Kluyveromyces lactis: one gene and its partner. The protein of the gene in region 2 interacts with the protein of the main gene of each other region in a pairwise test. Links are inferred from orthologs where the notes say so. Each region holds a gene or a part of one and is shown on either strand. Other genes may lie near its edges.

Region 1 (3,512 bases), about 180 kb from region 2:
GAATCTCAATTAAAGTCCAAGAAATACCAATTGATCACTTTGACTCACGTCGATACCTCTACTGCTACCCTATTGGATCTCCCATCAATCACCTCGTTGGTGAAGAAAGTTTCTCCAGAAACTTTCATTATTGTTGACGGTGTTTGTTCCATTGGATGCGAAGAATTTAAATTCTCCGAATGGTCTGTCGATTTCGTTTTGACCGCATCTCAAAAGGCGTTATCATGTCCTTCTGGGTTAAGTGTTTCTTTGATCAGTGAACGCGCCTTATCATACGCTTTGAGCAACGAATCCACCCATGGATTCTATGCTAACTTAAAGAAATGGATCCCAATCATGAAAGCATACGAAGCTGGTGTAGGCCAATATTTCGCTACTCCATCAATTCAATTAGTTAACGCATTAAACGTCTCCCTTGGAGAAATCTTGTCCTATGGACTCGAGGCCAGAATCGCCAAGAACAAGAAAACTTCTGACCAGTTCAAAAATAACTTGAAACAATTGGGTCTCACTTTGGTCTCAGAGGATTCCAACAGCGCTCATGGATTGACTGCCGTATACGTCGACCAACCAGGTAAAGTGATCTCTTCCTTGAAATCAAAGGGTATAGTCATCGCCGGTGGAATCTTACCCGGCATCAAGGACAAGTATATCCGAATTGGTCACATGGGTATCTCTGCCATCGATGACAACTTGCACCACATCGACAAGGTATTCGAAGCAATCAAGGAATCTATTTAATCTAGGGAAATCCATCCTGTTTGTATATAACGATCTGTATACTCCTTCCCTCACTCAAGTCAAACTCTTTATGCCAATGCCATGCCTCTTCTTCGTCAAGTCTACTGTCGAACCTTTTCAAGTCAAAAATGGAAGCTCATCTCGAGAAGTGAAAAGTGAAAAAAAAAGGAACAAGAAATGCAGTGGTGGCTCTCAAAATGTGTGTATCACCGCTCCAGCTCCATTCAAGTCATATATTGGATACAAAGGCCCGTATTATCACGACTCATTTCACTACTATTTTGTGGGCCACGAAATTTATACACAAATGTATGCAACTATGTGTAGTGCTCCTACATAACCATCACTGTGTTTTTTTTTCCGATGACTTGAAGGTACTATTACTGCCGTTGCGCAGCAGAGCAGCAGTGACATAAGTAACAGTCCCAAATTTTTTTCACAGGTTCCAATCCAAGCTAATTCTATCTTACAACGGGTAAGTAATAAGGTTACTGTCAGTACTGAAAGTACTTACGATGATTTTATTTACGTAGTAATTTTCTTTTTCAGAATTATCATAATTCTTTGATCAAGTTACTGTGAAATTTTAATTGAAAAAAAAAAAAAAATTAAGTTCTTACGAAATCCTTTATTCGTTATAAATATGAAGGATACCTGATAGAGGGAAACGTGTACAAGTATATATATTGGACTACCATTTATCTAATTGTGTTTTATCTTGGAATCCTTGTTATTCGTTTTGTTTTAGAGGTTTATAGTATTTCTTCTCTTCCAAGCTACTCTTCATTAAGGATAGAACCAACAACTATAATAATCTAACGATGCCATACGCTCTATCTGACTCTCACAAGAACTTGGTTTCTGCTCACTTGTCTGAAAGTGATCCAGAAGTCGAACAAATCATCAAGGATGAAATTGACAGACAAAAGCACTCTATTGTCTTGATTGCTTCTGAAAACTTCACCTCTACCTCTGTTTTCGATGCTTTGGGAACTCCAATGTGTAACAAGTATTCTGAAGGTTATCCAGGTGCTAGATACTATGGTGGTAACGAACACATTGACCGTATGGAATTGTTGTGTCAAAAGAGAGCTCTAGAAGCTTTCAACTTGACTGCTGACAAATGGGGTGTTAACGTCCAAACTTTGTCTGGTTCTCCAGCTAACTTGCAAGTCTACCAAGCCTTGATGAGACCTCATGAAAGATTGATGGGTTTGTTCTTGCCAGATGGTGGTCATTTGTCTCACGGTTACCAAACTGAAAACAGAAAGATTTCTGCTGTCTCCACTTACTTCGAATCTTTCCCATACAGAGTTGATCCAAAGACTGGTATCATCGACTATGACACTTTGGAAAAGAATGCCATCTTGTACAGACCAAAGATCTTGGTTGCTGGTACTTCTGCATACTGTCGTTTGATCGACTACAAGAGAATGAGAGAAATCGCCGACAAGGTTGGTGCTTACTTGATGGTTGACATGGCTCACATCTCTGGTTTGATCGCTGCTGGTGTTATTCCATCTCCATTCGAATACGCTGACATTGTCACTACCACTACTCACAAGTCCTTGCGTGGTCCAAGAGGTGCTATGATCTTCTTCAGAAGAGGTATCAGATCTGTTAACCCAAAGACTGGTAAGGAAATCCCATACGATTTGGAAGGTCCAATCAACTTCTCCGTCTTCCCAGGTCACCAAGGTGGTCCACACAACCATACCATCTCTGCCTTGGCTACTGCTTTGAAGCAAGCCAACACTCCAGAATTCAAGGAGTACCAAACTCAAGTCTTGAAGAACGCTAAGGTTCTAGAAGAGTCCTTCAAGAAGTTGGGTTACAGATTAGTGTCCGATGGTACTGACTCCCATATGGTCTTAGTCTCCTTGAGAGAAAAGGGTGTCGATGGTGCTCGTGTCGAATACGTTTGTGAAAACATCAACATCGCTTTGAACAAGAACTCTATCCCAGGTGACAAATCTGCTTTGGTCCCAGGTGGTGTCCGTATCGGTGCTCCAGCTATGACTACTAGAGGTTTCGGTGAACCAGAATTCGCTAGAATCGTCGACTACATTGACAAGGCCGTTCAATTTGCTGCTAAGACTCAACAATCTTTGCCAAAGGAAGCCAACAAATTGAAGGACTTCAAGGCTAAGGTCAACGAAGGTTCTGAAGAATTGACCCAATTGAAGAACGAAATCTACCAATGGGCCGGTGAATTCCCATTGCCAGTGTAAACGAACTTGGATTAAAAAATATTTGACAGACACTTGTTTTCTTTCCTTTCCACACTGTAATAATGACTATCCTATTTCAATTCTTATGGACATCCAACAAATTGATGATCCGTAATACCAATTGCAATTCACACTCTTTTTTATCAACTTGGGTTCTAATTTTCAACAAATGGTATCTCTTTTATCTAATTGATGATATGTATAAATAGCATCTCTTTTCGTATATTTTTTAAGTAGTTCAATTCAACAATTGAATCATATTCAACAAAATAATCATGATCATTCTTGCTATAACAAATGCGAATATATACATATTTACGGGTTCATTAGCTTGTTGGTTTCTTTTATGTCGTCAAAGGTATGATAAATCCGTTTAGAAGTCGGATTAACCTCAAATTGTCTGGCAATGAAATGGTACTTGCTGTTTATGACGTATTCATCAATATTAACGTGATCCTCAAACAATGCATAAAATAACCTTACTAACTTTCCCGTATCCGCTACGGTTAATTGTGACCATTCGATGCTATGCATAAGATC
Region 2 (4,450 bases):
GCAAACAGGAAATCATCTGTGGCCAAAAGAATATACAAAGACGAGGTGTCTTCAAATAAACCACGTTTATTCCCTAAAATGACCTTTGTATGTTATGCTATGAAGCCTAGTTTGGGTTGTCAATCGTATTGCTACGATTATATGTCTAAAAGATACTAACATCTATGCTATGAAATGCGCTCATTCCTTCCGAAGAGGAAGAAGGAAAGAGTGTGAATTGGATGAGCAAGACTAATTTAAGATCGGTAAAACTGTACATTTGGCTATTGATGCTGTTTTAATTTCTACCTGCTTGGCAGGTATTAAGAGAAATACTGGATTGACCCCTAAGATTGATCACATTAGCGATATTACCGTTAGGGAATATTCCACGAAATATTTGAACTTGGGAGAGTCAGTATATGATTATACAGTGGCAACTCTAGGATCTTCATCATATTTCCAGAGGAAATGAGATACAAAAGACGAAGTTCCCCTTTAATAACTTAATTTGTTTTTTTTGTGTGATCTTTTCGCTATAACGGGTTAGCTATGAATGAAACAGATGTGATTGTAAGTCCTTAACATATATTTATAGTTAGTATATTCATTATATATTTAAGTGGTTTTGAAAATTAAAGTTCGGTGTAATGATACATTGCTGGTTTCAGCTTGGATTGATGGCGAATTCAGCTACAACTTCTTCGGTTGATTGCTTGTCGTCCATTTGCTTCTGCTCGCAAAATTTAAAGATGGCATCGTAGCCAGTTGGTGTATCAGCAGCATTTTCTGTATTTTGAAAGAGATCATTTATGTGTGAAATACTAGGAGACTTCCGTTCTGAGCTTTTTCCATCACTGCCAATGTTACCTCCCAGTGAGCGTAGATTCTCCCAGAAATCATTACCATCTTCTTCCATAATTGATATTGAGGACACGGTGCTTGGGGTTACTTTATTCTTGGGTCCATTGCGATCAAAATCTTCAGCTGGTGTATTTCCTGTCGATCCTGCAGCACTAGAGTTTCTGGATTCATTTTTACCTCTTCTCTTTGTTTGTTTCCTCTTATGTCCATGAAGTCCATTCGGACTTGGATTTAACAATCGGCTTAATTCAACTGTCTTGGCGTTTTCACTGGATCCAAGCTGTGGCTTGACCGTGGGTGGTAAATAATTGAAATGTGAGTGCCTACTTGGCCCTATTTCTCTGATTTCTGGAGCTGTAGGCGATGGATAAGATGCAGTGGAACTTGTAGGATTTGGTGGCAACTGGCTTAAGCCGTTTTGTGCATAATTAGCCCCGTTCATTAAATGCTGTTGTTTTATGTTCTGCTCTTGAGCTTCATCTAGCGAATCATGATGATGATGGTGATGATGATGATAAAATCGTTGTAGTTTATCGTTGAGAGCCGATGGACTTTGAGTTTCATCGTCCAATCCCCAATTGTTGAAGTTTGGAGTTTTGGATAGAAAATCAGTTTCGAAGTCAGAGAAGGACGGGCTTCTAATTTTTGGAAGATCTTGTGAATTTGAAGTAGTATTACCAATGTGTTTATTTTGTTGTTGCTGTGGTAACATTAACGGAGGTGGAGATATTTGTCTGGGAGCCAGATAATGGTTGTGAATATGCTGGTGAATTGATATTTTCAAATCATTGGCCTTGGCATGATTTATTAACTGTTTTACCAAGTCAGCGTTTGATATAACACCGTTGGATAAGGTATGACCTGAAGATTCCTTCAGACTAAATTTCCAGTCAACTGTTGTTTCTGGTTGTTGTTTCCTAGTTTCGACATTGGGTATTGGAAGAAATGTGCTAGGTGATGGTAATGCAGATTCTTTTTTGTTGATGCTGCCAACAAAAATAGAAGGATGTGGAGAGTTGTAATGCGGTGAAGGCGATATTATGCTATTTAAAACAGCTGGATCTGGGGTGGCTGTCGATCTTTCGTTAGATTGGTGTGGTTGTTGTCCATCATTCGCATTGATTTTTCCAGTTTTCAAGACATCCAACAATGCCGCACTAGAATTAGTTCTGTTAGTCATGTCAAATATCATAGGTGTCGATTCTTCTCTCTTTACAGTACCACTCGGGCTCTTCATTGAAGGTTGTGGCGTATTTGAAGTTGACATAGGACGTGAAACATCTTCGTCATCATCAGTCTTGTTTTCCTTTTCGTTTTCTTCACCTAATCTGGTCATCTCGTTACCTGCATCCATGTTTCCAGCTTGTACAGCGCTTTTTATGGTTTCAGATGCAACGCCTCTAACAACCATAGTGATAATTTTCCTCCAACGATTTCTACAGGTTAAACTTGGCCTAGCATCCATTTCCGTCGATATTTGCCTCCATTTCGTACCATATTTCTTGACCTTCGCTATAAGTAGAAGATCTTCCGTCTCATCCCAAGGTCGTAGTCGGTCTTTAGTACTGGGATCAAGCACTTCGATGTACCTCTTCGCGCATTGGTCTTCAGTTCTATTCTCTAAAACGTAGGAAATCTTAAACCATTGCGGACCATGGTGTTCATATGATTTTAAGAGAAGCTCATCCTCCTCTGGTGTCCATTTACCTTTCTTCAATACAGGATCTAAAGAACTAGTCCATCTCTTTTTCACATCCGTCGCTTTCTTATTATCCAATTCGAATTGCTTGGCAAGCTGATCCCAGGGAATTTTTTTGACAACATTACTAGATTGCTGAATTGTTTTAATAGATTTGATACCATCCGGATATCCCAAATTTACTAACGATTCGTTAACCAATTTTCTAAGCAGATCATCTTCTTCTTTGGTCCATATTTTCCTCATCTTTCTTCTAAACGTTTGATACCCTAAAGATTCTGAAACCTCAAGAGCATTGACTGGTTCCTTCTTAACTCTCTTCCTCAAATTGCTCATATGCTCCTCTGACATATCACCCGAATCGTCACTCACACTGCTAGCTACAGTTCCTTTCTCACTCGACGATTCATTCATATTCCAGTCAAAATAGATACTTGATCCAAGATACTGATTTCTTGATAGAAAAGTCAAAAAATTAGACTGAAATCAAGTTTATTAATTAACACCAATTTTACTACTTCTCAACCAATGTTTTTGAGATTGTTCAAAACTTTATAGCAAGTGTATCTCGATATTTCCGTTATGACTGTTAGTACAATCAATAGATGACGATAACGATAAACTTCTTTTTGTTTCTGTTAATGATATTTTGGGTTGAAAACCAAGTTGTAATTTAATACAGCTCTGAAACTGTCTACACAGCCTTGTATCTGCTGTGATATAGGCGCTGTATTCACCGTTTTCACTTCGCTTGATAGATACCCTGAGAGATACTCTACATAGTTATGATGTCAAATTTGAGTAATCTTAGTCTGGCAAATTTCTTTATTTTCTTTTTCAGGCAGAAGGGCCCTGGCAGAAATTTTGTGCACGTGATAGTATCCGGGTAATGTTTAAATAAGTATACATTTCTCAACATGGATTGCATCTCTGTCGAAAAGCTGCTTTCAATTATCAACAATAATAACTTCAGGAACGAAGAAACGAGGTAATATATGGTAACTTACAGGCTACATGGCAGCTGAAATACTAGTTTTGAGTGTTAGTTTAATTATTGTAACCGAATCATTTGTTAAATTCTAACTTTCACCACTTATATGAAACTGGCGTAGAAATAATGACGGTATCGTATCATCGAAAAGGGTTTGATGACATTAGTGATTATTCCAGATCAACGGTGATAACTGCAGATGTCTCTTCTAAACCATACTATTTCGACCGGAAAGGTATCAAAGATAGTTTAAATTCTGGTAATGAAGCACGTGATAGAGGTAGCGAAAGTAGGTGGAAATCGTTGGGATATAATACTGTCCTTTCAACTCTTTTTGATTCAGCAAAGACATGGTTTTCCTGGATTGATCCTTTGGAGCAAGAAAATGGGAAAGATCGTACCATTTCCAACACTACTGGAGCAAATTACGACAGTTTGAAAAGAGGAGTTGATGAGGAGTCGACTCCGAGAAAGAAAATTCATTTAGACTCACTGCTCCAAGAGAAGGAGCATTTAAGGGAACAGTTACAACATTCAATTACTCCAACGAAAGAAGTGTTGAAGTTACCTAAGGATCCTTTCCATTGGGATAATACTAATGAAGAAAACTATACAGAATCCTCACCTACAAGAGTACAATATGGAACTAGACTCTATAGAAAACTCAAGCATAAGAACCAGCAACAGCAGTCCACTGCATTAATTGCTAAACCGTCCGATGAAGTATCATATTTAAAAAATTTATTCAACGGAGAATATCATGTACCGATTGAGATGCAAAAGGAAAGGGAAAATCAGCTCAAACTTCTTTCAAGAGATAACAGCCACAGCAGCAATGCCAGTACAAACAGTAGTAATAACAACATTGTAAGGCTTACAGAAAGGATTAAGGCTTTAATTTTGGAAAACAGGAAATC

Evidence for each region.
Region 1: the proteins of KLLA0_F10978g (region 2) and SHM2 interact in a two-hybrid assay, tested with the Saccharomyces cerevisiae proteins (2 studies listed by BioGRID). The link is inferred for Kluyveromyces lactis from reciprocal best matches to the Saccharomyces cerevisiae genes BAS1 and SHM2.

What each region holds. Positions count from the first base shown.
Region 1 is NC_006042.1:828,461-831,972, reverse strand, and holds SHM2 (glycine hydroxymethyltransferase SHM2), read left to right. Parts: upstream 1-1,562; coding exon 1,563-2,972; downstream 2,973-3,512. Other genes in the region: AGX1 (alanine--glyoxylate transaminase), read left to right, coding at 1-741; putative mannosidase MNL2, read right to left, coding at 3,288-3,512. UniProt on the Saccharomyces cerevisiae protein: Interconversion of serine and glycine.
Region 2 is NC_006042.1:1,010,833-1,015,282, forward strand, and holds KLLA0_F10978g (uncharacterized protein), read right to left. Parts: upstream 2,957-4,450; coding exon 647-2,956; downstream 1-646. Other genes in the region: ATG44 (mitofissin), read left to right, coding at 79-87, 242-454; SUMO protease ULP1, read left to right, coding at 3,660-4,450. UniProt on the Saccharomyces cerevisiae protein: Activates HIS4 transcription only in combination with PHO2/BAS2. BAS1 is also involved in the regulation of the purine biosynthesis pathway.